Struthio camelus: one gene and its partners. The main gene of each other region encodes a partner of the protein of the gene in region 2 in a complex. Links are inferred from orthologs where the notes say so. Each region holds a gene or a part of one and is shown on either strand. Other genes may lie near its edges. The genes, in order: PPP4R4, PPP4R1, PPP4R3A and PPP4R3B.

What was found.
Region 1: PPP4R1 (region 2) and PPP4R4 share a complex: the UniProt entries of both Homo sapiens proteins name them as parts of the PP4 complex. The link is inferred for Struthio camelus from reciprocal best matches to the Homo sapiens genes PPP4R1 and PPP4R4.
Region 3: PPP4R1 (region 2) and PPP4R3A share a complex: the UniProt entries of both Homo sapiens proteins name them as parts of the PP4 complex. The link is inferred for Struthio camelus from reciprocal best matches to the Homo sapiens genes PPP4R1 and PPP4R3A.
Region 4: PPP4R1 (region 2) and PPP4R3B share a complex: the UniProt entries of both Homo sapiens proteins name them as parts of the PP4 complex. The link is inferred for Struthio camelus from reciprocal best matches to the Homo sapiens genes PPP4R1 and PPP4R3B.

Annotation. Positions count from the first base shown.
Region 1 is NC_090946.1:66,790,185-66,797,904, reverse strand, and holds the start of PPP4R4 (serine/threonine-protein phosphatase 4 regulatory subunit 4), read right to left. Parts: upstream 3,017-7,720; 5' UTR 2,497-3,016; coding exon 2,380-2,496; intron 1,884-2,379; coding exon 1,810-1,883; intron 505-1,809; exon of another isoform or gene 429-504; intron 1-428. UniProt on the Homo sapiens protein: Putative regulatory subunit of serine/threonine-protein phosphatase 4.
Region 2 is NC_090943.1:116,180,939-116,188,028, reverse strand, and holds the start of PPP4R1 (serine/threonine-protein phosphatase 4 regulatory subunit 1), read right to left. Parts: upstream 3,015-7,090; 5' UTR 2,763-3,014; coding exon 2,756-2,762; intron 2,655-2,755; exon of another isoform or gene 2,563-2,654; coding exon of another isoform or gene 2,555-2,562; intron 2,303-2,554; coding exon 2,258-2,302; intron 2,185-2,257; exon of another isoform or gene 2,142-2,184; coding exon of another isoform or gene 2,123-2,141; exon of another isoform or gene 2,008-2,122; intron 1-2,007. UniProt on the Homo sapiens protein: Regulatory subunit of serine/threonine-protein phosphatase 4. May play a role in regulation of cell division in renal glomeruli. The PPP4C-PPP4R1 PP4 complex may play a role in dephosphorylation and regulation of HDAC3.
Region 3 is NC_090946.1:65,507,895-65,515,250, forward strand, and holds the start of PPP4R3A (serine/threonine-protein phosphatase 4 regulatory subunit 3A), read right to left. Parts: upstream 3,001-7,356; 5' UTR 2,379-3,000; coding exon 2,237-2,378; intron 1-2,236. UniProt on the Homo sapiens protein: Regulatory subunit of serine/threonine-protein phosphatase 4. May regulate the activity of PPP4C at centrosomal microtubule organizing centers.
Region 4 is NC_090944.1:118,654,458-118,661,472, reverse strand, and holds the start of PPP4R3B (serine/threonine-protein phosphatase 4 regulatory subunit 3B), read right to left. Parts: upstream 3,020-7,015; 5' UTR 2,767-3,019; coding exon 2,625-2,766; intron 1,445-2,624; coding exon 1,389-1,444; intron 1-1,388. UniProt on the Homo sapiens protein: Regulatory subunit of serine/threonine-protein phosphatase 4 (PP4). May regulate the activity of PPP4C at centrosomal microtubule organizing centers.

The DNA of each region.
Region 1 (7,720 bases), on a different chromosome or scaffold from region 2:
GGGTATAGCATCACCATCTCGAAATTGAACAGAACACAGCCATCATTGACGATTCATTTCAATTTCACTAAAGCAAATTTTATAGTGGGATATTCAGAAAAGGTAGTGTCATATGGGATAACGTCAAGGAGAGTTCCACATAAGGGACAAGTTGAAAGAAGGCAAGTAATGCCTTTCTCCTGTGGGAGAAAACGAGGCATGAAAAGACCATGACATTACCATCAAACAGGAAAAAGTAGGTGTGTTGTATTCTAATTCATAAAAATACTGGAAAAGACAATGATATATGCTTTTACGCATTGTATAAAGGATACTACTTGTGTTACAGACAGCTTTTCAGCTCTGTTTGCTTACACTCCACTCAGTGCAAGCAAGGCAATGCACTACTGAACAGCAAAAGCTTCCACTGGATTAATGTATAAACATACCTGGATAATCACAGCAAATAATTGCCTTGCAAAAAGCTTTTCAAGCAGAGATGAAGCTACCTTTCAGCAATGAGGACTACAAAGAAGCAAAATAAAAACTTCATCACAAGGAAGTGAATATTATGTCCCCCAGAACAGCTGTTCAGGTAGAGAGAAAGTAGACGAGGATGTCAAGAAGAGTTCAAGGCCAAGTTGAAAAGTAATTAGTAAGATAAAAAATATGAAGTCAAACCTTTTACCCTTTAACCACGCAATGATGCAGTAACGACCTATTGTTGGAAACACTATCTTTAATCAGGAAAGGAGCAAGAGATCTGCTGCTTCACATGAAGGAGAAAAAAAAAAAGATGACCATGCTGATCGCTGTGAGATAAAAAAACCTAAAATGATATGCAACGACATTGGTTTCTCTAGATTACCCTAGAGCCAAAAGACTACTTTGATTACTATCTGTAGTATCTATCCGCAGTAGCGGAAGTTTTAAACTCCATTACTTAATGAAGAAAAAAAATTAGCATGAAAAAACACAAAAAATTCAGTATCAAAATACTACTAGTGGACAAAAATGTTTACCTAAAAGTAACACCACATACCCAAAAAGAGAAAATTAAGGCATTGAAAAAATATATTTTTAAATTGAGGACAGGCATAGGCTGTAAGAGCACTTAAAATAGCAGAATAAGCAAACTGCGAAGGAGCTGCAGCTGGTTCTCCAATTACTAAGTATTGTTTAAAACGCATATTCAAATCAAAATGCCTCAGAACATTCCTACTCTCAGAGATTACTTTTGCAGCAGAGTTGAAAGAGATTTGTGTTTGAATCCATCAAAATTTAAGCTATTCAAGTACTTTAAAGAGGAAGATAAAATGAAAAAACAGAACATTGATTAATATTAAAATAATGTATTCTGCAGTATTTCCTAAAGACTATGAAACTAATCTTTAAGTCTTCTCTTCTGATAGCGCAAACGTATACAATATGTTCAGACAGCTCTGCTATCAGTCCGTGGTAACTGCCCATGCCCTAGAGTGACTATGAAGTCACCGAATGATTGCTCTTATTAATGTCAACTTGACTCAGGGAATCTTGCAAAACCAATTGCAGAGAAAAAGAAGACGAAGTACAACTCATTATTGCTGAGGGCCATATTAGAAACTCGGCAAAGAAATATCCGTACGTCCACACAGGCATCCTATTCCATCCAAGTTTAACAAAATGACAGTGTCTATTTTAATCTTGCCTATATACCTAATGTAGCCAAAAGTATAAAACAACTACTATGTAAAGATAGAAAATAAAAGGACTAAGGAGAAAGAGCACAAAAAACTGTATGTCAACATGATGGTCAGCAGTGTTTCACAATAATACTTTAGGAAATACCTGAGTAGATAAACAGCCCTTTCAATATCATTGAGTTCTTCATCAACTGTCAATCTTTCTATTTCTTCTGGTGTCTGTCAAGTGTGAAATAGAGATTATGAATTTACAATGCCATACTATTTCTTTGTTTTAGTCTTCTTAAAACAAACCCTTCCTCCCCATGTTCAAGGATAGTTACATGAGTAATTTGAATTTAACCCCTGAAATCTCTAGCCAATTATTTCAAATTCAGTCAAATAAATCTTTCACCAGGAAGAGATGGGATATAATAAAAGTACAGTTTCATGTCAGATACTCTCATTATTAATCATTTAAAACACAGCATAAACACGTCACATATAAATTAAAGGCTTATGTTAGTCCATTTTTTCCAGCTTAACACCCTTACACTGAAAATATTAACTCCTGGCTATACTGAAGTCAAGATTGTATATTCCAGCATAACTGAAAACAAGCTTTAATGTTCTGGTGCTGTAAAAATAAACTGCCTGGTCAGCTGGCAGTGCATAAATACAAGCAGCAAAAATTTCAAATGGATTTTAAAGCATCATTCAATTTTGAAGTAGATACCTTCAGGCTCCTGCGTACTGGCCTTTCTATAATAGTTAGCTCCTGCAGGTCTTCTATGTATCCAAATAAATTGCTCTGAGTAAAATCCATTTTGGAGAAGAAGATTATTGGATGCATGTAACAACCAGAGCCTTTGGCAACCGATGCTCTCTCCGAGTCTCACATCGCACTGGAGGAGAAACGACTGACACCACGCAACACCCCCTCCAAGTCTGCGAGCAGCGCCTGCCTCCCGCCGCCGGCAGCCGCCGAGCCCCGCCGCCTCAGCGCACACACTGCGGCACCGCTGCCGCCCGCCTCCGCCACAGCCCCCCGCCGCCAAACTTTCTCCGGCCGCTCCGCTCCGCTCCCCCCGGGGGCGGGCAGGCAGCGGCTCGCTGTTATCCCGGGGCGAGGAAGCGGAGGGAGAGTTTGGAGCCAACTTTCCTCTCGTCGCGGACTGCCCGTGTTCGCCGAGGGGGGCGAGGGGCCAGGCCGCTTCAGGGCCCGCGGGGAAGGCAAGGCGGGGGGCAGCAGACAGCCGAGTCCCTTCCTCCAGCGCAGGCTGCGGGCGACAGGCTCGCCCCGCTCTCCTCACTGAAGGCACCGGCTGAAGGAGCAGCCCCGGCCGGCCGCGCAGCGCCCCGGCCCAGCAGCCTCCCGGGGGGCCGCCCCTGCCCTCCCCGCCCCGGGGGGAGGGACGGCCGCCGTGGTGCAGTGTCGCTCCCCTCCCCCGGCCCCGGCCCCGGCCCACTCCTTCAGCGCAGCTGTCCCCCCCACCCCGCCGCCGCCGACGACGGCAGGGAGCGACTGCCGCGGCGTCCGCGCCGGGACGGCCCCCGGCTCCGGCGCCTCAGCGCCCCCCGCGCGACGCCAGCCCCGCGGAGCCGCCTCCCAGCCGCCGCCACTGGGGCCGCCCTGCCACCGCCGAGCCGGTCGCCGGGGCAACGCGGCGCTACAGCGGCCTCGGCGGGGCAAAAGAGCTTCCCGAGCGCGGTAATAGCCGAACGCGCTGGGGGCGCGGGCGCGGCCGCTCCTCGCGAGGGCCGGGGCACGCCCCCCTTCCCCCCTCCCCCCCCCGGCCGTTAACCGTCTCGCGCCGCCGTCGCCTCCCGCCGCCCTTCTGCCTGCTGTGCCGCGCCGCGCGGGGACGCACACGGGCGTGGGGTCGGACACGCGCCAGGGCGCTCTGCGCCGTCACCTCTGCCCGCAGGCCCTTCTGTGCGGGGATCCGCTCCCGCGTGTACGACCCCCGTCCGGGCTCCCGGCACAGCCCAACCCCCCCACCCCCGCCACCCGCCGGGGGATGCGTCCTACTGCCGGGGCCTCGCCCGGCGCAGCCGGCCCCGCTCCACTGCTTCCCCTTCCACCGCCACACACAGTGGAGGGGTCTCCCCTTCCACTGCCACAGCCCCTGTGGAGCTGCCCTTCCACTGCCACGGCCCCTGTGGAGCTGCCCTTCCACTGCCATGGCTGCTGCAGGGATCCACTGCCACGGCCCCTGTGGAGCTGCCCTTCCACTGCCACGGCCTCCACAGGGATCCCCTTCCACTGCCACGGCCCCTGTGGAGCTGCCCTTCCCCTGCCACGGCCTCCACAGGGATCCCCTTCCACTGCCACGGCCCCTGTGGAGCTGCCCTTCCACTGCCATGGCTGCTGCAGGGATCCACTGCCACGGCCCCTGTGGAGCTGCCCTTCCACTGCCACGGCCTCCACAGGGATCCCCTTCCACTGCCACGGCCCCTGTGGAGCTGCCCTTCCCCTGCCACGGCTGCCGCAGGGATCCCCTTCCACTGCCACGGCCCCTGTGGAGCTGCCCTTCCACTGCCACGGCTGCTGCAGGGATCCACTGCCACGGCCCCTGTGGAGCTGCCCTTCCACTGCCACGGCTGCTGCAGGGATCCACTGCCACGGCCCCTGTGGAGCTGCCCTTCCACTGCCACGGCTGCCGCAGGGATCCCCTTCCACTGCCACGGCCCCTGTGGAGCTGCCCTTCCACTGCCATGGCTGCCGCAGGGATCCACTGCCACGGCCCCTGTGGAGCTGCCCTTCCACTGCCACGGCTGCCACAGGGATCCCCTTCCACTGCCACGGCCCCTGTGGAGCTGCCCTTGCACCGCCACGGCCTTCACAGGGATCTCCTTCCACTGCCACGGCTGCCACAGGGATCCCCTTCCACTGCCACGGCCCCTGTGGAGCTGCCCTTCCACTGCCACAGCCTCCACATTGCTCCACTTCCCCTGCTGCAACACCCTTGCCTTGAGTAGTGTCCCCTCCCTTCTGGGTCAGGTGTGCTAGGACACCTTCACTGTGTCCTAGTCCACTACCAGGACTCTTGCAAAACGGAATTACTCACAAGAAATCTTCTGTTTTATAAGCCTTTCTGATTTTAATGAAAAGTCCAAAGCAGGTACCTCCCCTGATGAATGCTTTTAAATTAATCCCAAGTTAAAAAAAAATCTTTTGACATACTTGGCAGTGACTCTACAATGAAGACTCATTTCCACTCTTCACCTTCTTTTTTTTAACCTTTGCAGTTAGAGCTTTGTTACCCAGCAGTTAGGTGTCTCCATTTTCAAAATTGCTCTGAAAAGCTTGTGATTCTTACTTTACCTGTTATACGTTCCCAGAGAATTAACCTATAAATCAGATTATTCACAGAGAAGTTGAAAATTTAGCAAGTCTCAGAATGTGTTGCAATGCCTAAATCAGTTGCGATATGAAAGACCTAGTGTGGAAGATACAGAAGGACATGCCTTCTCCAGCTGTACACTATGTAATTCATGCACTGCATAATCACAGTTCTGCCAGGACTCAGCACCTAAATTGAGTGTGCAGAAATTTCATTTCAGTCTGTTCACCACCAAGATGGCTCTTTACTGCAGTCCACCAAACCCTTCAAAAATGCAGCTTTGATATTCCATCTAATGCCTTAAGCTTACATTTCTCCCCTCAATTCCTGGCTTCATATTTAAACCACTATCTCCTCCTTCTATTAATGACCACAGTACTTTCACTTCACTGGAAACATGACTCAGATATGTTTTTCAGTTCACAATCTAGATAAAGTTCCTGATGTGGAAGTACAGCATCAAGAAAACGAAATGGACAAGAGCTTGTTTGAATATAAAAGTCTAGATTCACAGGTGAATGCTTTGTTACTGCTTATTTAATAAATGTTAAAAACATTTTTCGGATTAAGATATTCCAAAACAAGATTTCTTATTTTATTCTTACCCCAAGGAAGAATGTGTCCACGAAAAGCTACTCTTCAAAAAACAAACAAACAAACAAAAACAAACAAAACTCCAAGTGGAGGCAAACCTGTAAGTACATTAGTCTAAAAGAACCACACAGAAAAATCTGTCTACTTTGGAACAATTCTTGAAACGTAGTATATACAAATCTCAGTCAGATAAAAACATTATTTAGCATATTTTCCAGTTTGTTGCTAAGAAACTGTTGCTGCATTGTCCTAGTGTCATTTGCAAAAAATTTCTGATTGCTCTTTTGCCACTTCTGTCAACTGATTGTAACAGCTATATAATTAAAAAGGGTATATGGAAAAACACAGGATTGTACTCATTGTGCTTTCATCACCTGTGAACCGTTCTCCCAATGCTTTCCTATAACTTAATACTCTCCATTAAGATCTAAGAAACAAAAAGGTTTTAAGGTTATTTTATATGTACACAAAAGATATCCTTTTTTAGGCAATATGACATGTATAAGATTACGGTGACTGCATTCTCTATTCTTTCTAAGAAAAGCTAGCTCTCCTGCCATGTCTAATCTGCTGTCCTGTCTCCAAAAGCAGTTAATAACACATGCAGGAAGACAAAATAACAACAGAGTAAATATGTATTGCTATTTTCCTCATACCTTCTAGCTATTTGTGAATATCTGATCCGGAGTAGGATCTAATAGCACATTGCTTTATGAAGTTTAAGTGATTTTTTTTCTATTTTTTAAAAATACACATCTTTTGCCCAGATTTACTAACTTTTGAAGTATCCACATAAAACAGTATTTATTTACATTTTAGAAAGCAGATCGACAATGGCAAAAATCTCAGTGACGTCAGTATGTAAGTACAGAGGTCTAGACAATATTTTACGGGGAATTTTTTCAACCCTTAAAAAGGAGCAGGGAGCTGAAGAAATCTCTGGAACCAATTACATAAATTAAACAATATTGGGCCTAGGCCCAGGGGCTGGAGCTCAGCCTTCCGTACTGCTTACATTGCCAGAACGGTCCCCAAGGCCAGCACGAATTCCCCCAAACAGTCCCTTCGTTCAGGTCAGGAGTTAGCACCAGCCCAGACCATTCTCGGCAGGCAGCAAGGATACGAGTGCCCTGTGTGGGAGGTTAAGGGAGTTTACTGCTGTGAACACGGTCAAGCCAGCTTGCCTCAGAGCCAAAGACCAGCACACGGTTTCTATTCCTAATACAAAGGTAGCCAATGACTCCAGTTCCTTGCTATGACAACAGTGAGCAGTCTGTCATAAACAAGACAAACCTGATATTAAAACTAACCAGTTTTTGCCTTCCAGTATTCTTTACTCATTGGTTGCTATAGAAACTTCAGATTTTCTACCTAAAATTACTGTTGGCCAGTTTACCTACTTTCTTCATGTACCAGCATTGTACTTTACTTTAAAGCATTCTTCCTTTCCTGCTATTTAAAGATCACAATCATATCTCCTCTAATCCTGGGCTAAACAAGCTAAGCTCAACATTTAGTCTTCTCTCATAAAACAGGCTCTCAGTTCTCCTGGTCATCCTGATTGGCCTCTTCCCACCTGCTGCAGTTTGACTTCACCTGTCTTGAATTAAGGTGACCAGAATTTTATATAGTATTGTAGACAGCAGCTTCAGGGAAGTAATGCCTTTTATGGAGAATGAATATCTTCAAGAGATAGCTTACCAAATATACTGCATTGGCAGCTCACAGTTACCTTGTGATCAATTGATACAAGAGGTCGTTCTCTTCCACAGTCGTCTAAAACTAATTAACTCCTGTCTTAGAGTCTAAATTCTCAGTATTAGCCTTCACTGAATGGTCCTGCACTTTGTATGAGTAAATTTCATCCCATTATTCCAGTCCTCAAAGTCCTCCCAATCTGCCTGATGTCGTACTTCTCCTCTGTATTAATAACTTTGTGCCATCAGCAAATTTCATATTGTGTCACGGTCATTAATGAATGTTTGAAATAAGACTAGTCCACAACATTAATCTTTAAGGAATTCCTTTAGTAATCTCCACCTACCCTATGGCTTAGTCCATTAATATACACACGAGTGTGTTCCCACAAATGAAATATGCATTTCCCTTCCTTCTTTAACCAGTTCCTTTCACTCC
Region 2 (7,090 bases):
CTTTCTCTCCAGTGTAGTTTGCAGATGAGATGTTTTTATTGTTGCTGCTTGATACCCAGTCAATTAAAAAACACAAAGATTTACTGAAAATCTATGCCAGCCAGTCTATCTCATCTCAGTCTTTTCTTATAATTCATACTATCTTACATTTACATAATTTCTAAGTTATACCACTTGGACTACAGGTATGCCCACGCTTCCTTTTCCTTGCTTGTCCTTACTATAGCTTAGCACATCTAATAGCAAGACCACAGCTGGCAGAACTGCACACGCATAAAAGCTGCCTGCACTTCCAGTGTCCTCACAAGTACATTCTACTACTTCCGGAATACGTCTCAAAACCAGTTTCTAACTCCAATGCTGAAAACAGTAGCTTTCAAACGTACAACAGAGAGGTACTGTAGGCTGGGGTTTCAGGCCTGGGAAAGCCAGGCAAAAATTGCAGCGTTTGTCGTTTTTTTTGAAACTGCCTATTTCACATGTGCAAACATGAAATGTAATCCTAAATAATGCATCAACTGGGAAAGCTTTCATAAATTGCATAAGACCTGTTGTACATAGATACAAAGCATGACTATTTCAAAGAAGTGTAAGAAATAACGCTATCGACTACATACATACAGTCTCTTCAGTCTGTGTTATTTTTCTTTAGCTCATGTCCACCTCTCGAAAACAAAATCACATAAAATTCAAAACTGTAGAAGACATCAGGTGTGACCAAATTATGTCCAGACAGCACATGCTGTTTCATGCAGATTCCTGCTTTCTCTAAAAATAATACACTTAAGTAATGAGCTATTCACTTTTATCTACTTCCATCAGAACCTCACTAATTTTTTATGAGGCTTCAAATTTTTAGATTTCTATGGCTGCTGCCTTCAAAATGCTCTCATCTGAACTGAGTCATATCTCCATGCATATATAATTTCTTCCTTTTTAAAGGCAAGACTGCAACATTCAAGCCACCTCCAGGAACCCAAGGATTACAAATCATCTCTCTAAAGACTATAATCATTTCTTACTTCAACTACTGTCTTACAGTCAAGAAAAAAAAAAATCACAGTCTAAGTGGAAATTAAAAAAAGACATACATTCTTAAAAGTGTGACACTTTTCTAAAAGTCCTCACCTAATCACAAAGTTTTCAAACAGCTACACTACCAATCTGATTTTCAAGCAATCAGAACTGGGTGGCGAGGGGGAGGAGAGTCTTACAAAAAGGCTCTCTCTTTGTGCAAGGCAATACACAACATAAAAAGAAATAGAACAAATTTTAATCAGTTCACAAAACAGAAGACAACTAAGATGTTTCCAGTTAACTTCTGGAAAGTGTAAATAACATTCCCAGAAGCATTTAAGCCAAGAAAGCTTTTACTGCTGCAATCTAGTCCTTGTGAAGGCTGCACAGTAGACAAAGTACCTTCAGACAGTGACAAGGGTCTGCAAACCTACAGCAGACCGCATAGCCGAAGCCTATGCTATGAATCACCTCAAGAAGAGCTGACGCCTCCATTTTCACTTTCTATATAAAATTCATCTGGCTTCCAAGTTCTTTTAACACTGACACTACCCATATACGTCCTTCTCACCTGCATTCACGTTGCACAGCCCTCACTTTCAACCTTCATACCTCTGAACTAGCACTTTGAACGGGAATCATGTACTGCAACTTGCCCCCCCCCCCGACGTAACACTTTCCCAAACATCGATTCTCCTTCTCCCCATCAGTTGCAAGAAGAAGGGGGCTGAGTGGGGGGGGGGGACACCAAAACAAAACAAACTCCACAGGCCTCAGGCTCGAGAGCACCCACCCGGCTCATTCCTCCTGAGAAGCTCCCCACGCAATTCAGGAGCGATGACCGCCCCCTCCCCACCCGCTCCCCCCCTTCCCCGCCTTAACGGCTGCCGCGCGAGGGACGCGGCCCTCGCGCGACGACCGTTAACGGCAGCTCCCCGGCGCGCCCGCCCAACGCAGCGCGTTTCCCTGCGGCCGCGTTAGCCCGCTTACAGCAGCCCCTCACTCCAGCCTGCCCCGCTCCGCAAGCCCCCACCGCCGCCGCCGCCAGGAAAAGCCCTGCTCAGCCCGGCCTTGCCCCCCGCACGCCCGGCTGGATTTTATGTACATAAGGAAGCGCGGAGCATGGCCTCCTCCTCCTCCTCCCACAATGCACCGTGGGCATTCACATTTGAAGCTACTTCCTCAACCGCAAAAAAGCCCCCGGCCCGTGGCCGCCCCAGCGCCCCCCGGCCCCACTCACAGCCGTCTATCTCCTCCTGCAGGTCCTCCTGGAGCAGCGACAGATCTGCGGGAGACACACAATGTGCCAACGCGCCCCGGCGCATTTCACCGCCGCCGCCCCCCGCGTGTCCCCACGCCCCCACTCACCCACCCACCCACGGGGCCCCGCCGCCCGCACGCGCCGGGGCCGCGCTTTGCACCCGCGCAGCCCGCCCGCCGCGCCCCCCCCTCCACCAGGGGAGGGGACCCCCACGCACGCACCTTACCGGCGCGCCCACGCGCGAGCCCGCCCCGCGGACCCCCTCCCCCGCCCCACCTTCGCATGCCAACCCCACCCCGGCGGCTCCCCACGCACGGACGGAGACACGGGGAGGGGGCGCCGCTGCGGGAAGCGCTTCCTAAACCGGGGCGGGGGAGAAGGAGGAGGGGAGAGGAGGGGGGAGGAGGGCTCTGGTGCCTCGCTAGGGAGGCGGCGTGTGTGGAAAGGGGGAGGATGGAAGGGGGGGGTGCTACCTACCCGCCATTTTGCTGTAGCCCCCACGGGGTGCCGGGCTACATTGAACCCGCTGCGGAGCGGCGAAGCGGGGCGGCGGCGGCGGGGGGGGGGGGCAGGCCCGGCGCGGCGGCGGCGGCGGCGGCGGCGGCGGCAGCGGCGGCGGCAGCGTCTCCCAGTGTCCCCGAGAGAGCGGCGCAAGGAGCGGGCGGGCGCAGGAAGGCGGGAGGAGGGGTCTGGGCTGGACACGCTGCCCCCGCCTCCGCCCGGCGGAGCCGCGCTCGCACCCGGCCTCGCCTCGCCTCGCCTCGCCTCCCCGCCCCTCGCACTGACTCACGCCCGGAGCCGCCCAGCCCTGCCCGCGGGCGCCGCGGCCGGGGCACAGCGGGGGGCCACCGCCTCCCGGCCGCCCCGCTCACCTGGCCGCGCCGCTGGCCCCAGCCCCGCCGCTGGCGGACCCCCCCCCCCCAGCCGCCCGCTCTGCCGGGGCCTGAGCCCGCTTGGCACTGACGCCGCTTCCCCTTGGCCCGGCCGGCTCCTTCCTAGCGTCTTCCCCCTCCCCTCCCACCCCCCGCCGCCTCTCAAAAGGCTCCGGCTCCCCCGCTCCGCACCGCCTGGCGTTGGTGCTGCCCCGGCTGCTGGCGGTGAAGCCAGGCGGCCCTGCCCTCGCCCGAGGGGTCCCCACTTCGGGCTTCGTGGGGTCACCCCGGCGAGAAGGGTCGCTGCGAAGCGGGCAGGCCGCAAAAGTCTGCGCCTTTGGGCTTTGTGGGGTCACCTGCCAGGTGTCCCGGCCACGAAAGTCCTCCCGCGAGCTTTTTAGTGCCACCCTGCAGAGAAGGGTCCCCACGAGGCGGCCGGGTCACAAAAGTCCCGGCTTTGGGGCTTTGTGAGGTCACCCTGCAGAGAACCGTCACCGCAAAGCGGCCGGGCCACCACCCGGACACCTCGGCCGGCTTAGCCAGCCGGCAACCTCCTGCCTGGCGCGTAACTCGCGTGGAGGCACCTCTACAGTTCGGCTGGTGAACCGGCCCTCCGAAACCGGGGGTGTTTTTGTCATTAATTGTACTTATTTTGATAGATTTTTCCACTGTAAATTGGAAGATTATAGAAGCTGGATAAAACAAATGCTCTAATTTGCAGCTACCCGTAGCACTTGCTAAAGAAAAGGACCGTTACCGAAACTGATGCTAACTGGGAGTCTTGAGTGTTCCACCATCTTTTTGTTATCTCTGTAATCATCTTTGGTGTTGTTAAGATATAGAATAGCAAAACAAGTTTTTTTTTGTCCATTTTATTCAGAAGGGATGCAATTTTAGTAGATCAATTTTTAACTCAACAGGGTTGACGTCATGTCTTGTAAGTAGTTTTTTAATACCGAACCATTGTTTTCATTTTATTTTGTGAATCACTTAAGGATTTAATCCCTATAGTAATTCCTTCTTTTTGCCATAGTGGCTGAAAATGTATAATCTTTCTTGAAACTGCACACATCCTTTTCCTTCCATTCCTGTAAGAACAAACTGCTTTCTTTCACAGCTGTTCAAACCTTAGAGAAATCACTAGGGCCCACTGGATGCAGATTATCCAGCATTTCTTTCATTCAAATATATAACCTTAAAAACTGAGTAAATCAAGTAAATTCACCATGACTACATGATATGGACCATGCTATTCTCTACCAGTGTAATTTAAGAGAAGACTCGGTAGAAATATTTGACATCACAAATAGCTGGCGATGCTGGATATGATAGCAATAGGCCTAGAACACAAAAATAAAGCATACTCAAAGAACAACTTTTTATTAGCTCCATTACTGTACATTACTTCCAGGAAGGTTTCTTTCTTCTCCACGTTACAGTCTTCACCATAATCAAGGCCTGGTTTTCTTCTTCTGAAGTCAGTAGCAATTGCCTAAAATGTATGCACTTGCTGTTCTTGAAGGAACCAAGGTTTTCCGTTCCTTTTTCCTACTCGTTACAAACAGGTAGTAATGCATACTAAATATAGATTACTATGGTCTGAGAGCATCAAAACTACCTTGACCATTTATGTAATAGAACAGGGTAAAATGATGAATGCAAGAGAGCATACTTGACATAATTTAACACCAATTTTGGGGTCTTCCTATGTGAATGGGGTATTCCTAAGTGGTGGTTAGTTCTTTGTTTGTAGGTGGGAATATGGATAGGGTCAGGGTGATTTACAAGACAAATTATAACTGCTCAGGAATTGCTTTTTTGTTTCTCCTACAAGTGAACTAGTAGACTGTTTTCCTCAGATGAAACTGGTCCTAGTACCATTGTTAGTAGTCAGCAGGAAAGGTCTCTTCCTATGCAAATAAAAATACTGAGGCAAAAACTTTGGCTCATACCGTGACACATACGTGGAGAAAAATCCCTTTTTTGGCTTCATGCCACCACACAAAACCAAATCCCACATAATGAATAAGTAACTAGATAGCCCTACTTCTAAACTTCCTGGCTTAAGGAGACCATAAATTCTATACCTTGATCTCCCCAGACACTATTTAAGGGCCTAACCTAAAGTTCAGGTTAATTGTCAGATTCCTACTGGTCACAAACAAGGCAAATAGAAACCTTCTAAGTATATTCTAAGAATACGCACTGATTCTCTCAGATAGTGTGATGAGCCGACTTTCATAAAATAATGTATCTAATTCTGAAAGAAAAATTTCATAAGAAACTTCTCATTTTATTAGCTGAAGCGTGTTAAGGATACTTTTGCACCTACCAAAATATTCTAGCCCATTTTGTGCTGGTGTTCTAATAATCTGTTTGACTACCCTTAAAGGCATTGGAAAATAAGAAATTTAAGGCATAGATAAACTCAAGTTTGAACGCTATATCCCAAGAAAAATACGCTCAAAGGATGGACGCCAAGGCTATGAATGAGAAGATACAAATGGAAGACACTGTGGCAAGAGTCTTCACGTGTGATAGAAGACATCTTTATTGCTATATATACGTGACTTATCTCAGAAAAGCCCATAGCAATTAACAAGATCCTTATAGTATTTATATAAAGTACTTCATAAATCTTTTCAAAACTACAAAAATGACCAAGTTAAACACAAGATACCTCATATCCACCTGAGTGTATTTGCAAAAAGTTATTCTGAAGTTGGGTTACTGACATTTCTTCAGTCAAAACTGCTGCAGGCATAAAGGCCTCAGGCTCGAGAACACTGCAGGCCCAAGAACTCACACGTGAAAATATCTTATTTGCTCTCCTTTGCTGTGAAGAAGTAAGTCTCCTTGTTTGATCAGAAAACAATGCCAGGCTTTCAATGACCGCAAGTTAACCCGCTTTGCGTTTCTCCCAGGCTTCCCTTCCTGTGTGGGAAGTCCTTCCCATAAATATCTGCAAAGCCATCTTGCTACCTTCCTTCAGATTCCTCCTCAAAAACTCTCTTTTCCTGTAAAGCCTACAAAAAACTTTTTTCAGGGTTAGACTTCTGGTGCACTGAGACAACTGCTCATCCTCTTGAGTAATACTGACTCATAGTTTTCTTGCCCTCCCCCGGGATTCTGTCTGCATACATCTGTTGTCTCTTGCTTTACGGTAAAACAATGAGTTGTCTACTTTATAGACCATCTTTTTGTTCTTTTTGTAGTGTCTAGCTCAAACTGGCCCATGACTGAAGCTCACAAGCATTAGACTATATATACCCACATAAACAAATGAGTACCTATAATACAAATGGACATATGTAAAAACCTGGAGGCTGAAGCCTGAAACATGTTAATTTTGCATTTGAAAATACATCATCTATTGGAGCATTTATGCTAAAAAGGGCTGTACATTGTAAAGCCTTCTCTTCCCTTCCCTTTCCTATTACCTGTTGTGCTTTTCTCTCCCCCAGTAAAAAATACCTGAGTTCTTTTTTTTTTTTTGACTCATCACTCGTGGATGACAAATTTTTTGATTGTGCACCACAGTTTTATTTAATTTCCCCATTTTCCTGAGTAAGAGCCTGAGCTGGTGATTATTTGTGAATATCAGAATGCAGCTGTCACTGCTCCAAGTGCAGGCCTCGCAGAAAGATTGTAAACAATATACATATTAGTAATTTTGCTGACTGCACGTGAATAGTTGTACCTGTTCAGGACTCTGCTGAGATACAGGATTTGATGGATCTAGGAGGCTTTTTGGTATGACAGCCATGAATGAATTAGTCTAAATTTGCTGACAAAGAACTTTGCTAACGTAAAGTTAAGTTTGCCTCGTGGGTATCTCATGTCATTGCAGGAAGTCAAGTTCAGTGATAATTAAACTTCTGAAAACTAGCACGTACAAAACTGAGGCACCTACTAATGCAACCTTAAGGCTGCACTGGGA
Region 3 (7,356 bases), on a different chromosome or scaffold from region 2:
GATAAATGAAGTGGTTGACCATGATTTTTCTAGTTAGGAGAAAAACAAGAGCTATGGAATACAACAAATTTCATAGTATCTAAAACATAAGTCTGGCATCACCTTTTTTCAAATCATTTGCCTGCATTTATAAGTGACTGCATCTGCCTTCAAAATTAGCTTACAAACCAATTACCAGGGTAAACAAAATATAAATCAAATTTTAGGAGGTGTTTGCGCAAGCAAGCTAGAAAAACTAAGCCTATTAATAGACTGCACATTTGACCAGGACTGATCCTACCTACTAAATTAAGAACTTTAGCTCTGTATATTATTCAATACTGTTAAAGTATATGCTGTTTGAGAAAAGTCCAATGTGTGTATTAAATAACTGCAGCTAATGCACAGAAGCATAAGTTTGAACAACTCCTTCTTTAACTATTTTAGTGTCTGAACTGTGTAGCACTGAAAGTAATGACTCCACATTTCCTCTGAGATCACTCACACCAGTTTATATTTTCCTTTTTACAGAAGTTCATTTACAATAAGTAAGCTGGCAACAGCAGTTGAACTCAGGTACAAATCAGTTTTAAACATACATATCCCACCTAAAGTTGCTAAAATGGTATTTTAGTTTGAATGGACAATTACTTGAAATCAAGTTACCAACTGCAGTACTTTTGCTTTCTTCTGTTAAGAAAAGGAAAAAAAAATCAGAAACTTTAATCATTAGAGTATAAAAACAGGACATGACAGTATTTAAACATTAGCTAAGAGAGTCTCCTGAGTACAGCAGCCATGTAGACAGCAAGGACTATATCTACAGTAAAATATACTGGAACACAGGATTAGTTTAAAAGTTGAGTGATGACCTTCCTTCTCTTTTAACCTCCCTCACTCATGTCGAAACTAAACTAAGTCTACTTCCATTTTGAATGTTTTGTCATACACTAGGAAGCTGGTCAAACCAAAATAAAGACCATAGCTTCTTTAGTAAAAGAAAACTAAAAAACAAGTCTTGAAGACAAACAAGTCTTAAAGACATCTTGTCTTAAACACAAGACTTTAAAGAATAATTAATAAACTACAAAAATCTGAGATTCATGCTTATCAGAAACTTAATGATCAAAATCCTGCTCAGATGCAAATTTGACTCCTCCATATCTGCGTATTATCTCTTTATTGTAGAGACTGCTGTACAGTTTGTCAGAACTTTCTCAGACATGAGATGATTCTGGAGCTGCCTCTCATCCAAGTTTCTATAATGAAAAGGCCAGATAAAATAACAATAATAAAAATAAAACGCCTATTGCCAGGCACAAGTCACAACTAGATCTTTAAGTCACTAGATAGAGTGGCTATATATTTAATGAAAAAGTCAGTCACGCATTGACAGACTTTACTAGCAAAATAGTACACACGAGGTATTGCAAGATACGCTGTTTAAAATCTGTTCGGACCGCAGCAGTCAGGAAATCACTCATCCAATAACCAAGACTAGTCCAAACATGTAGCTACAGGGGTAAATATTACTACCACTTAAACTGTAGTAGGTTTTGCCAAAAATCGTGAAGGATTATGCATCATCTTAAGTTTATTTACAGGCAGATCTAAAACTGCTGAAGGATTGAAAAATACTATTTCAAGAAAAAAAATAAAGCATCTCTGAAAATGCTATTCTGTCCATTGTGTTGTCTTTACTACTACAACTGCACATTGATAATTATTGTTAGCTGCTAGTGCCCTGTAAAATCTTACTACCAAAGAAAACAGGGTGAAAAAAGAAAGAAAAATAAAGGATGTTAGCCATCTAATCATCCAATGACTTTTTTTTTTTTAAATCCCTCCAAAAGTATGGTCTAAGTTTTAAGCAACTCCCTTCATGAGGGGGTTGCTTCCAGAAACATCCAAGGAAGCATTCACAATGATCAGTTTTGGGTCTGGAGTAGACTAGGTATCATCAGATACCCAATCTTGCACAAGACTTGCAATTAGACTTCATTGTATTTGGCATGCAGTACTGTATTCACTACGAACCAAGTGCCTACTACAATGTTTGCACTTGATGGCAATCGTCCATTCCTTTCACTTGGCCTAACAAGAATGAACTATGGCTGATGCCTACTTGCTTTCAGGAATTACATTCGAATTATGCAGCAAAACGTTAAGGCAAGAGACATACATATAAAGCCAACTCCTACTCCTTTTTGGAGTAGGACGAGGAAAGGCTCTAACAGCTTCACATATACACACTTACCATCACTCTCTGCCCTGACTAGCAGGGACATGCCCTTCAGCCTCTCCACGTAGCAAGAGGACACATGCCCTGTGCCTCGATCGTCCCACTGGCGGTCTTCATTTAGCGTGTACACCTTCACCCTCCGCCGGGTGTCAGTCATCCTGCCGCCTGCCACACCACTGCCACCACCCTGGCTTGCAAGACCTGAAGAAGCGGGAGGTTGGCGGGGGGCTCGGCCCCCCTCAAAGGAGGGGAGCGGGAAGGAGGGTAGCAGCCCCACACGGGCACGCCAGGAGAGCTCTTCTTAGTCCTCTTCAGTGCTCCAACACGATCTTCATTATCGGCAGTAACAGAGGATTGGGGGGGGGGGGGCAGGAAGGGGGGCCGAGGCGGTGAAAGGCGAGCTGTTCCAGGGACAGTTAGGTGCTGCACAAGAGGCGACCAAGCCTAAGCTGGGGAGAGCCGCGGAGAGGCTCCTTGCGGGGCGAAGGGCAGGCAGAAGCGGCGGCCAGGAAGGGGTCCCGGAGGAGAAGCGGCTCCACAGGGCTGGAGGGGCCAGCCGAAGGCACGGGCGGCGGCGGCCGGCCGACCGACCGGCCCGGGCTGACAGGAGCGGGCGACCCGGCAGGCCGGGGCCCTGGCGACGGGCTCGGCGCGGCCGGCAGGAGCAAGCAGGCGGCGGGAGGCAGGCGGGAGCGGGGCCGCTCGCCCCGGCCCGAGCGCGGCTCTATTGTGCGGCAGCTGCCCAGGCCCGAAGCCCCTGGCTCGCCGTCCGTCAGCGCGGGGCTCCCAGGAACCGCCCTCCTTCCCCGGCGGGGCTCGCGTGGGGCCGGCGGGCACCGCCTGTCCCGCGGCGGGGCGGAGCGCGCGGCCGGGCTCAGCGCCCCGTCTCCCCCATGGGCTCCCGTCGCGGGCGGCGGATCACTCCCAGCCCGACTCCGCCGCCATATTCTTCTTCCTCCTCCTCCTCCTCCTCCTCCTGCCGGTGCTGCGGCGGCGGCGGCTCACTCGCGGCTCCTCAGCGCGCCCTGCGGCGTGGCCGCACTCCAGGCACTCAGCGGCGCAGCCGGCAGGCGGGAGCTCTGCCCAGCCGAAGGGGCGAGCGGCGGCGGCGTGGCGCGGCCCGTCCAGCCCGGCTCCCACCGCCTCTGTCTCCGCCTCAGTCACTGCGCGGCCGCCATCTTGGTTTCACCTCTCACTGGAGGCGCGGGGTCTCCCAGCCAGCGGCGGCACGGGCCGCCCGCCAGCGCTTAAAGGGCCAGCCGCCCCGCTGCGGCCGGGGTCCGGCGCCGGCCCCGCGCTTCCTTCCGCGCCCACGCGTGGCCGCAGCGCCCACGCCTCGCCGCCTGGCACCGCGCAGCCCCCGTCACGCAGCACGCTGCCTCTGCCGTCCCTGCCGGGCAGCACACACGTGGCCCCGCGCGGCCGTGGGCGCCGTGAGGCCGGGCGGGGGTGCCGCCAGGGGGAGCAGACCGTGGGGTTGTCGCGGCTGTTTTGTTGCGCGCGTCTGGAGCCGTCCTCTTGCCAAAGAGTGGTTTCATGGGGCGGGGGGGGGAATCGGATCTTTTTTTGGTTGTTTTTTTTCCCCCCGTCGCCCCCTGCTGAGTGATCCAAAAGTTAAACGGCTTCTGGTCGAGCGGCTCTTGGGTCTGCGCGACCTCTAACAATTGCAGTAACAAGCCGAAGCTGTTGAGCCTCTGCTTTTGCCGCTGCTGCCAACATCTGAACATATGTTTGACAGATTCCCCTTTTAAGGATGGATCAATATTAAATAACAAAAAAAAAAACCACAGGCAAAAACCACTAGTGCCTTTTGGAGCCCACAGACATATCGCCACGCAAGCGAGTCCATTTCAGAACATGGTCTGGACATGCTACGTACATGGGAGCTCACTGCAATTTATATACTTAGATTGGCTTATTTTTCAAAGTATTCCATATTTGTTTATGAAAGTGAGTTATGTTGGGGCTGATATAATTACTGGCTTGGAAGGACTTGGTTTTCTGAGAACCGTAGGTTATGGGCCCTGTTGAAGGGAGGCCCTCCAGCAGCACGGGCACAAAAAGGCGCTCAGCGCCCCCGTCTTGGTGACCGAGGAAGCCCCCGGGTGGCCATACCTGGGGAGGTGCTGCTCACGCGTTTATCTTGGGCAATTCTGGAGATGGATTTTTGTGACTTCAAAACAGGCCAACGTCACCTACAGAAACCTCTGTGGGACAGCTGCACTCATTTACAAATTGTACCCTCTGGTGGCCGTGGGATTAACAATAGACTATTCTTTTGGTTTTTTATTTTTTTTGGTGAATTCAAAAAAAGCTCAATCAGATTTTAGTTGGCATAGAAAGTTAGCTTTGTGCACATTTGGGGTTCAGCTTTTCTTAATTTTCTTTGTATTATCTTAATATCAATCTGAACAATGCTCAGTCCTACAGTATGCCCGCTGTCAGGTTTTATCTCAATTCTCATTGTATTTGGTGGGGGATGTCATTTTTTTCGAAACTTTCCACCGCAGTGATGCCAGAAGAAAGGCTGGGCATTGACGGCATCCTCCCATGATGGAAAGCAGATGCCAAAGAAGAAAACACTCAGTTTATTTTTCTCAGAGTCATGATTTAGAAGACAAAATTTGCCACGTGACATCTCAATTCCTTCTCCATTTCCAGAGGTATGAAGTATTGTGTGTCCCAAAGGAAATATCTTCAGGGATTCTCCTGATATTGAGAGGTCATCCTTAACTGAACCAAAAGCTTAGGCTCACTTAGTTCCTGTAAATAACCCAGCACCTTGTCCTGGCAGTAGTTTTGGCCCACCTGGAACTGAGTAATAAATAAGGAAATGGAGTATTGAACACAGTTTTAAACCTTTCATATCCTTAGATATATAAATGCATATGGATCAATATACTAATGAATAAAGCCTAGAAGGGGTTTACTACTGAGGGCCTCCTGCACAGCAGTCAGAACTAAGGAAGATGACTTTTTTCCTTCAATATCTGCTCACAGCTTTGGGAAAGAAAATTACATTGTTAGGAGGAACTCCATTGCAGACATATATCTTGAAGGTATGCACTAAAGCATGATTAGAGCTCCTAAAAACATAGCTAATGATTTTCTGACAAAAAAAAATCATATTAGAGAAATTAACAACTTCAGACTTTATTATGATAAAGATGAAAAAATTATTAAAATCAAAGTCTCTGCTTGCCTGAGTTTGATATGGTTACATTCTGTATGTGAAAACAAGGTTAAAATCCATACTAAATAGAGCACAGAGAACTGGCTGTCTAGAGGGCTTATATCCAAAAAACTGTGGAAAATGAGTGACTGAGAAGAAACATTATATAGAAAAATTGTAGCAAAGTAGGGGGTGTCTGTCCAGAAGAAATTAAGCGGGACATAACTCAGACAGCAAATTCAGAAAAATACATTTCTAGTTCAATGGGGAGGTGAACACAACAGTTAGAAATAAACATAAACAACAAGTAGAAAAATGACAATTCTAGCAATCTGCGCAATAAAGCTAGAAAGCATAGAAAAATGGATGAGGACATCAGAATATGTATGGCTGGTAGTTTTAGGAACAGCTCAAGTTTTCCAAATCTTAACGGTATCCCAGGCCTATGATATCACAACTAAAAAATTTTTGATATTGATACAAAAAGTAGAACTGTTTAACATTTTTTTCTATACTTGGAAAGAATTTTGATGTATTTATATCATATGAAGATGACTAAGTGCCTCCCTGTTCATTACTAAGAAGCACACTAAATAACTTATCTTAGAGATAAACATTTGAAAATATGCAAGTCCTAAAAAATTGGAATTTGGGAGTCCTAAAGAAGTTTGCATATGTGAGGTATGAAAACATGCTAATTTTTTAAGAAGCTGCAAGTATTGCAGAAATTCTGCAAGACATGACACTTTGTAAGAATTCAAATAGGACATGTTGGAACAGATAGATAATAATGGACTGATTTATCTGACAACAATCACAGACCAACAATAAATACCGATACACAGTATCGGTAAGAATTATAAGATTAGAACATAGCGATAGCAGCTGATGTGGCTTTATGGAAAAAAGACTTTCAAAATTGTTTAATCTCTTGTTAGATTACAAAGTTGCTTGTAAGAGTAATGGTGCAGATATAATATACTTGGATAGTTCTCAGGTATTTTTCTGGAAAGTCGGCATTGTATGCTATCAAGAAAGCCCACGCCACATGGGTCAGATGCTGAGAGACAGGCATAGCTCAGAACCATTATTCAGTGGAGGTGACTCCAGATAATCGTGCAGAAATCAAGAGTGGGACTGATGCTGTTTAGGATTTGTAGTAATAATTAGAAAGTTAATATAAAATCTCTGAATGAAAATTGTGTATGGCAGAGAGAGACTGGAAGAGTTATAAATATTGCTGAGGACAGAGTGGTCAGGAACAGCTTGGTTCACTTACTGAAAGCCCTGACTGACGAGAAGGGATGGCTTAGCCTGGGACAGCTGCGAAGGTTACTGGCAGCTGCTTCTGGCCTATTCTGGCTGTACAAATGTCTGTGAGCTCACGAAGCACCTCCCAAATTGTGACAGCGTTTTTAAGGCAAACAGTGACGCTTTTCCTTAAACTTTGAGCTGTAAACTGGGTTGATTGAGGAGCTGATGGATAAGCAGCTCTGACATCCAGAGAAGAAGGCAGGGTGGGCAGCTGGGGATGTCCTGGTCGTGCTCTAACTTAGACCTCTTGAGTGGGACCATTGAGATATAGCACAATACAAGACAACACCTATAAAAGTTAAAGCACCTCTGGAAGAGGCTGGGCTGCATAGCGAACAAGCAATTCAATACTAACTTCTTACATGAGTCTAAAAGGGCTAATACCTTTTGGGTGCATTGTAAGCCAGCAAGCTGTGGAAGAATTCAACATCAGGACTATAGCTTTAATGCAATGTTTTTATAACTCTGGTGTCATTGTTTAAAGATTTTGAGAAACTGAAATGGGGCAGAAAGGATTCCCCTTAATGACTGTATATTTTGCAGATCGAGGGTTGGCTCACTTCAGCATCTCAAATTCCTGCTGTATGCACAGTTTTGCACACATACCCTATGAATCATGTCTCAGATGCTGTTGCTCAGTTTTCACATC
Region 4 (7,015 bases), on a different chromosome or scaffold from region 2:
GAAAGACTTCTCCACAACAGAAAACTAAAGCTGCTTCAGTCACTTGAAACTTTCCTACCAGTTAAGGAAAGAAGGTTCTCAAATAAGAAGCAGTAGTATGACATTCCAAAAAATAAGACTGTCAAAGGAAGCAATTTAACTTTGCAGCAACATAATCCGCACTTGTATTGCATTATGTATTAATTGCCTCTACAAATACGGAGCAGTTCAAGGCTTGTGACTTTCAGAACCCTGCAGAGCTCCCATAAAGACTCTCCTCTTTCCTCAACCTGGCCAGACCGAGCAAAATATACCAAACTACATTGATGACCATCATCCAACTGACTAAATACACCAAAATAAGGAGTGAAAAATAAAAACTACAGATAACGGAGACCTCTGAAAAGGTACGCCCAGGGCTTTAAGGCTCCCTCCTAAACTACAGTCAGCCAACCTGTGCTCAGAGCTAAATCTTTCTACTGAACGAAAAACAAACAAACGAGACCTTCTTACGTTTGCCTGCTCACGATTTCAGATGAGCAAAGTTAATTGTTTTCTAGTGCTGAGAGATGTCTGGATACTATAACGATGACAAGCAGTATAAAATACTGAACAAAAAAAAAAAACAACCAAAAAAGATAATCTACTGTGGGACAAAGGAATAGACAGAAAGGAAACAAACAACAGCAGTAAGCCATGAGAACAATGTAGGCAGGGACACCAAAAATGCATGCAGAAAAAAAAAAAAAAAGCAATAGAAGTGATAAAAGCAAAAGAGATTTAGTAAGCTAATTTTTCAGTGGCTTAACAAAGACAGCCTATTACTATAGCTCCCTACTGTTTCACTTTTTCGGCTTGCAGAAGGCTTACCCCCACCCAGGAAAGGCAACTGTGCAAGTAAGTCTCACCAGGCATAGTAATTTTACTCAGGAGAGCAGAAGTTTTCAAGGCTTAAAACAAAAACAAACAAACAATAACAGAAGTCCCACAAAGACAAATTCCTTGGTGTTATGTCTAAAAAAAAAAACCTTAAGAAACAAATATAACGCAATAGAGTTGGACAAAATTTTGCCTTCCTAATGAGGTAATTACTTTATACAACCTGGGGTGGGAGACAAAATCACACGCATACGTTTCTAACTATTTTTCTGTTAATGAGCTCAATACTTTGCACATATTATCTTCAAAACCTAAGTCCAAAAATATTTTTGGGAGACTGACATTTAAATTTCTAGAATGCAAAACAGTACAGCACCTACAAGCTTCTAAGCTAATTTTTCACCTCTGTGGAAAACACCACCAACAGTTACATGTGACATTTTACCTTTTTCTGGAAATCACAATTAGTTTGGGCATTACGCAAATTCTCATTATCAATAAGGAAAAAAAAAAAGCCTAGTAATACTTGCCTGTTGTTTTTGATATGCAGTATTTGGATTTATCTTCGATTCTAACAGCAGTGAACCTGGAAAAGGTATCAAGACAAATTTACCAAGTTAAACAAAACAAACATCTCCATAGATTTTACAAGAACTGCCCATATGCCAGCCAACATATGCTCACTGTAGTCCGCGTCTTCCAGAAAGTTCAAGAGAACGATCACTTTAAAATATAGTCCTCTACAAATAAGCCAGGCAAAACACAAAATTCAACCGAAATAACCAAATTAAGTTTAAGATATGTTTTCTTCTTCTACTTTAGACCAAAATTCTCCGTAGTACTTTTTTTTCTCCTAGAACATGGTGTGACAACTAATATCTTTGAAGGCCATTTAATAATTCTGTACGCGCTTGCAGCAGATAACATGTTGTACAGCGTAAAAATGTATTTGTCCACACAAGCCATGTGGTCTTTTTACTACTATTTCCTTGAACCGTCCTTCAGAAGTGAATCATCCAGATGCTATAAACCCAAAGACTCTGTGTATGCAAGCAGTGTACGTAGCCTGGCAACAGCTCCATAGTAATTTACACCAGTCTTAGGTGGTTTATTTAGCACATTAGCACCTGTTGGCTGACAAAGTGGCGAGTGTCTCTCCCCCCCCCAACCCAAGATCCATAAGGTGACTTCAAAGTGCAATAAAAGGTAAAGAATGCCACCCAACTCAATCATTTCAAAATACAACGAGCGAATTTCTTAAAAGAAACTCTACAGTACCAAGAAAGGATGAGAAAGAGTACGTCAAAACAGAACAAAATTGTTCTGAAACTGTCATCGCATGTAACAATTTCACCTCTATCAGTCAAGACGAACAGAGCCACAGCTAGGGTAACTGGAAGAGTAAAAAGCCTAGGGTCGCGCTCATCAACACTGCTGCAACTTATCAGAAGGAAACGTTGAAGGAAAACACAAGTCGTAGAAAGGAAAGGGGAAAACAATTCCTCCCGGGTCTTCTCTGATAAGCGCGCCGGGGAAGACACCACCGGCGGAGCCCCCGCCGTGGCCGGTGTCAGCGCCGGCGAGCGGGGCAGCAGCGGGGGCGCAGGAGCGCGCCGAGCCGCGCCGCGCCGCAGGGGTCAGCGCGCACGGCCCCGGCAGGCGGGCGGGCCCCGCGGCCTCCGCCGGTGCGGGGCTGGGCCCGGGCCAGGGCCTGGGCCCACGGCGGGGCGGCCTAGGCCTCCGCGCGGCCCCGGCCACGCTCTCACCGTCCGACTCGGCGCGCACCAGCAGCGACATCCCCTTGAGCCGCTCCACGTAGGTGGAGGAGACGTGCCCCGTGCCCCTGTCGTCCCATTGCCGATCCTCGTTGAGGGTGTAGACCTTCACCCGCCGACGGGTGTCCGACATGGTGCAGCCCCGGCCTCGGGCCTCCGCGCCGGCCCCGGCCCCGAGCCCGGGCCCGCTCCGCCTCCGGAGGGGGGGGGGGCGATGGAGCGAGGGACGGCGGGCGCGGAGCCGGGCCACTCACGGGCAGCGCGGGGCCTTTAACGCGCCGCTTTTCATGGCTCCCCGACGGCGAGAGGGCGACGCTGCGCCCCGGCTCGGCCCCTGGCTGCCGCCGCTCCGCCGCTACCAGAGCGCGGCCGCCATCTTGTAACCCGACTCTCGCTGCCTTTCTCTTCCTTTCAGCGCCAGCCACGGGCTCCACTCGCAGGGGCTACGGCGGCCGCGAGGCGACGCGCGCTCGCCGAGGCGACGAAGGGGGCGGGGCCAGGGGCGGCCGTTGGCGGTGGGGGGGGAGGGGCGGGAAGGGGCCGGGCCCCGCTGCGCAGTTACCGGCCCGGCAGCGGCCCTCACCTGCCGGCGCAGCGAAGAGCGGGTGCGCGGTGCTTCACAGCCTCGGCCTTCCGATGCGCATGGCCTTTCTGAAGGGCTGCTTTACATCAGAAAAACGGCAGCCGTGTAACAGTTAAAACACAAACAAACAAACAAACAAAAGGAACACCTCCACCAACAAAAAAACCCGCAGACTCTCAAAAAAGCTGGTACCCCGCCCAGGGTATCCACGTCTGCACGGAGAGAAGGGGAAGAGGCTTGTACGGGACTAGCTCCGTGATGCAAACTTCCTTTAACTGAGAGATCTGCGTCCTGCCTGGCTTAGTTTTAGGAGCTATACCGGAATAACACAACTTTAAACAAGGCCTAGTATTTAAAAAAAAAAAAAAACCGTTTTCAAAGAAAAAGGTTGAGGATTCTCTCCTATCATAAAATAGCAGCAGTATTGTTCTGTAACATCTCCTCTGGCCCCACCGCAAAGGCTGCAGTAACGCATTTTGTTGCGCACGGTTGGCAAAGCTTTTGGGTACAAAGAAGTGTAAAGTTGGTCTGTGAAACCTGTCAGTGAAAGAGCTGTTTAACTGGTCCCTGCAAACGCTGTGCAGGTAAAGACAGACCCCTTGCCAGACACACTGAAGCTAATAATTTTTTTTTTTTTTTTTGTACTGAAGAGCAGTTATACATTTTCTCTCAGTACTAAGAATAAAATTAATTGAAAATTAAAGTTTACTTTAATGGATACACGCAAATGAAGGACGAGAGCAGCGGAACAGACGCTGCTGGGCAAAAGAAGGAAGGATGTTGTATTTATGGCTGGTTAATGTACTGGGAGAGTTCAGTAAACCTCAGTATGCGCATGAGGGCAGGGGAAAAGGACACAGGAGCGTACAAAGGACAGAGCTGTCCGAGACAGTGGGGCCCTTTGGGGTGAGGGCAACTGGCAGTTTCTTGGACCATAAAAATCTTTCAACCTCTGGAAGAGAAGGGAGAGGGGAAGAGCAAGTAACCTGCAGGCCAGGGCGTCTCGCAGGCCAGAGTTTCTCTCAGTCCCAGGCAAACCCAAGTTCTCCTAGCTCTTGCCTAAGCGAGAAAGCAATTACACCTGAATAGGTGTAAACACTAAAACACTGTCATTTCTCTGGTCTAAGTTAATCTCCTTCCAAATGGAAGGGAAAGCAGCAGTTTACTGCAGAACATGCCACTGTAAGCAACTATATGTCACGCCTTCATGATATTAAAAAAATATTCTCCGGGAAAGCAAAATATTATTCAGAGTATTTATGTAACATTTAAGTCTCATGTTTAGATATTCTGCTCTGACATACATTGTTTGTAACAGGCTTATTTAAAATTCGCCACTGTTCAGTACGCTGGACATTTGCCAGTCACTGATCATTTCTTGGTGGCAGCAAGATGCAGTTTTTGAGCAGCTGGCTTGTTTCAGCTGATCAGCTGAAAAGTCTAACATTTCTTAAGAGGCAAACTGATGCGTCTGAAAACTCGTTAGTCTGCCTATTTAACATCTGCAAGACAATCCACATATAAAAAAGGGTAAGAGAAAGCTTAACTGAAGAACCCTTATGAGGGTTCTGGGGAACTGAGGTTCAACCCCCGTTGAACCAGTTTTTGTCTTTAAGAGGGCTCACTGGAGACACGCAGTCATTACTTTTCTTCTTTGCAAAAGACGTTAAATGTAAGATGCACTTTTGAGAACTGTCATATACACTTGTGCACAGCAAAGTATGTTCAAGGTACATCATATAGTTAGAGGTAAGTAACTGCTTGGAAAAGGCCATGTTATCTTAGTGAGTCTCAAATTGTGGCTGGTGAAACCACATTAAGCAGTTTACAGCTGGGTTCCACATAAGCCTTCCTAGCTACCTGTCTGGCCTTTGCCCTGTTATATGGCCCGATGCCCTCAAGGTTCTACCCATCAGGCCTATTTTTGTCTCAGTAAAAGCTCAGTAAAACTGCATGAGAGAAACACAAAACCCAATGATCAGCGCTGTGCTGCTTCAAGATGTTTGCCACTCTTGGGCTCCTTCTCCCCTCAACAGCACCTCTACACACACTCTTCAATTTCTCAAACAACAGCATGTAAAAGTTCAAATACGGCCACTCTTACTAAAGACTAAATATGGGATTTATCCAGATATACAGAATAGCTCAAGACCACACTAGAACACTGTGGAGCAAATTCTCATCTATCATTGTGAACAGCAATGAAAAGAGTAGGCGATACACGAGTCAGAATCGGAACAAAAAATAATTTCTCGTTTTAGGGCTATGTAATAAATCTGTGGCCTCTCCACACACGAGAGCAACCACCTCTATGGAAAAATGCCACTCCAGAACATGTCCCAGTTGTACTCCTGCAGATGTGGAGCTTCTTGCGTGCAGAACTGCACTGAGAACTCCCCAGCTACAGGAGAACTTGGACCAGGGATGTTGGGAACTGGGTCGCTACCTTGTAATGTTTTCCACTAAAGCTCAAGCCAAATCTGTGGGCGCTTTGCCTGAAGAAGATATACAAGACTTGTCCCAATGGCTCTTACAGCTTTGATTTAAAACCAGGGAAAACACAAAAGACACAAAACAATGCATGCAAAGTGAAAGTCAGGAAAATCAAAGCAGCACTTTTTCACTGTGCTGCTGCACCTGCCAGTAGCCCATCTCTCCCCATTATCACAAAGCAATGAGCTGGAGCTGTTAGAAACAGCTCTCTGTTCTTTATTGAAATGAAGAATTCCATTAGGGTGAACTCCAGACAGAGCAAGTCATCATATGTCACAGTATGGAGCTGCAGGGAGCTCTTCTTTTTTAATTTTTGCTTTTAAAACAAACAAGAAAAGCAACTAATTCCTAAATCATGTAAAGGTTCTTGGAGTGAAATTAAGAGACCATACCATTCCCTCTGGCATATAATCCCAGAAGTACAATTCTGCCACCTCTAATACTGTCACTACAATACCTGCAGTATATATTGCTGGCATTTAAGAGTACCCCAGCTCCTGAAGCTTTGTGCCTACGTGAATATTTCAGCATTGTCAAATGAAGGAAATTCCAGCCCTCTTGGCCTGGCAGAAAAATATAGCACTAGAGCTTGGATGTGATGGGAAGGTTTCAGAAACTTTATTATTCTTTAAACCAACGGAAAGCACCAAGTTTTGTTCGTACACAACAACAAAAAAATGGAACTTCAGTAGACAGTGTGTTACTTTTTTTTTTTGTTTCTATAAAAGTAACCTGTTCTTTCCAATGTTAGTGCATTTACTCAGTGTGCTGTCTCGACTGCTAGCTCTTCAGAGCAAAGACCAACTCTGCTTATACAGTGGTAGTGCAACAATACTCCAGACTTTAATATCTTAACACAAAAATACTAAGACAGCTTATTTGTCTAAAAATTATTTCACTAGTTACACATACAGGTCTGAGAAAAAGCAGTGTAAATGAATCGTCTTCACTGCAGAACACAAGTAGTAGACTTAGACTGAAGTAGTATTTTCATAGCTCTCTCCATACTGAAGCATGGGAAAAGTATGCACGTGAATTTAAGTATGATTTGCTTAGAGGTAATACATTTTTGCTTGCTAAGCCTATATTATTTTAAATTGGGCACCGATAGCTGACAACATAAAATAGGCCAGTTAAGGTTATTCTTACCTTTCGGTGGAAAAACAGATGTGGAACCATTTTTTCAGAGAAGTTTCACTCAGAAGTTGGACAGATCCTGTGCAAGTATCCAAAAAGTTACTTGCTATATGCAAATCTTCCTTTACAAGAATTGTCACTCAATAATTCTGTAAGTATTTAGGATACC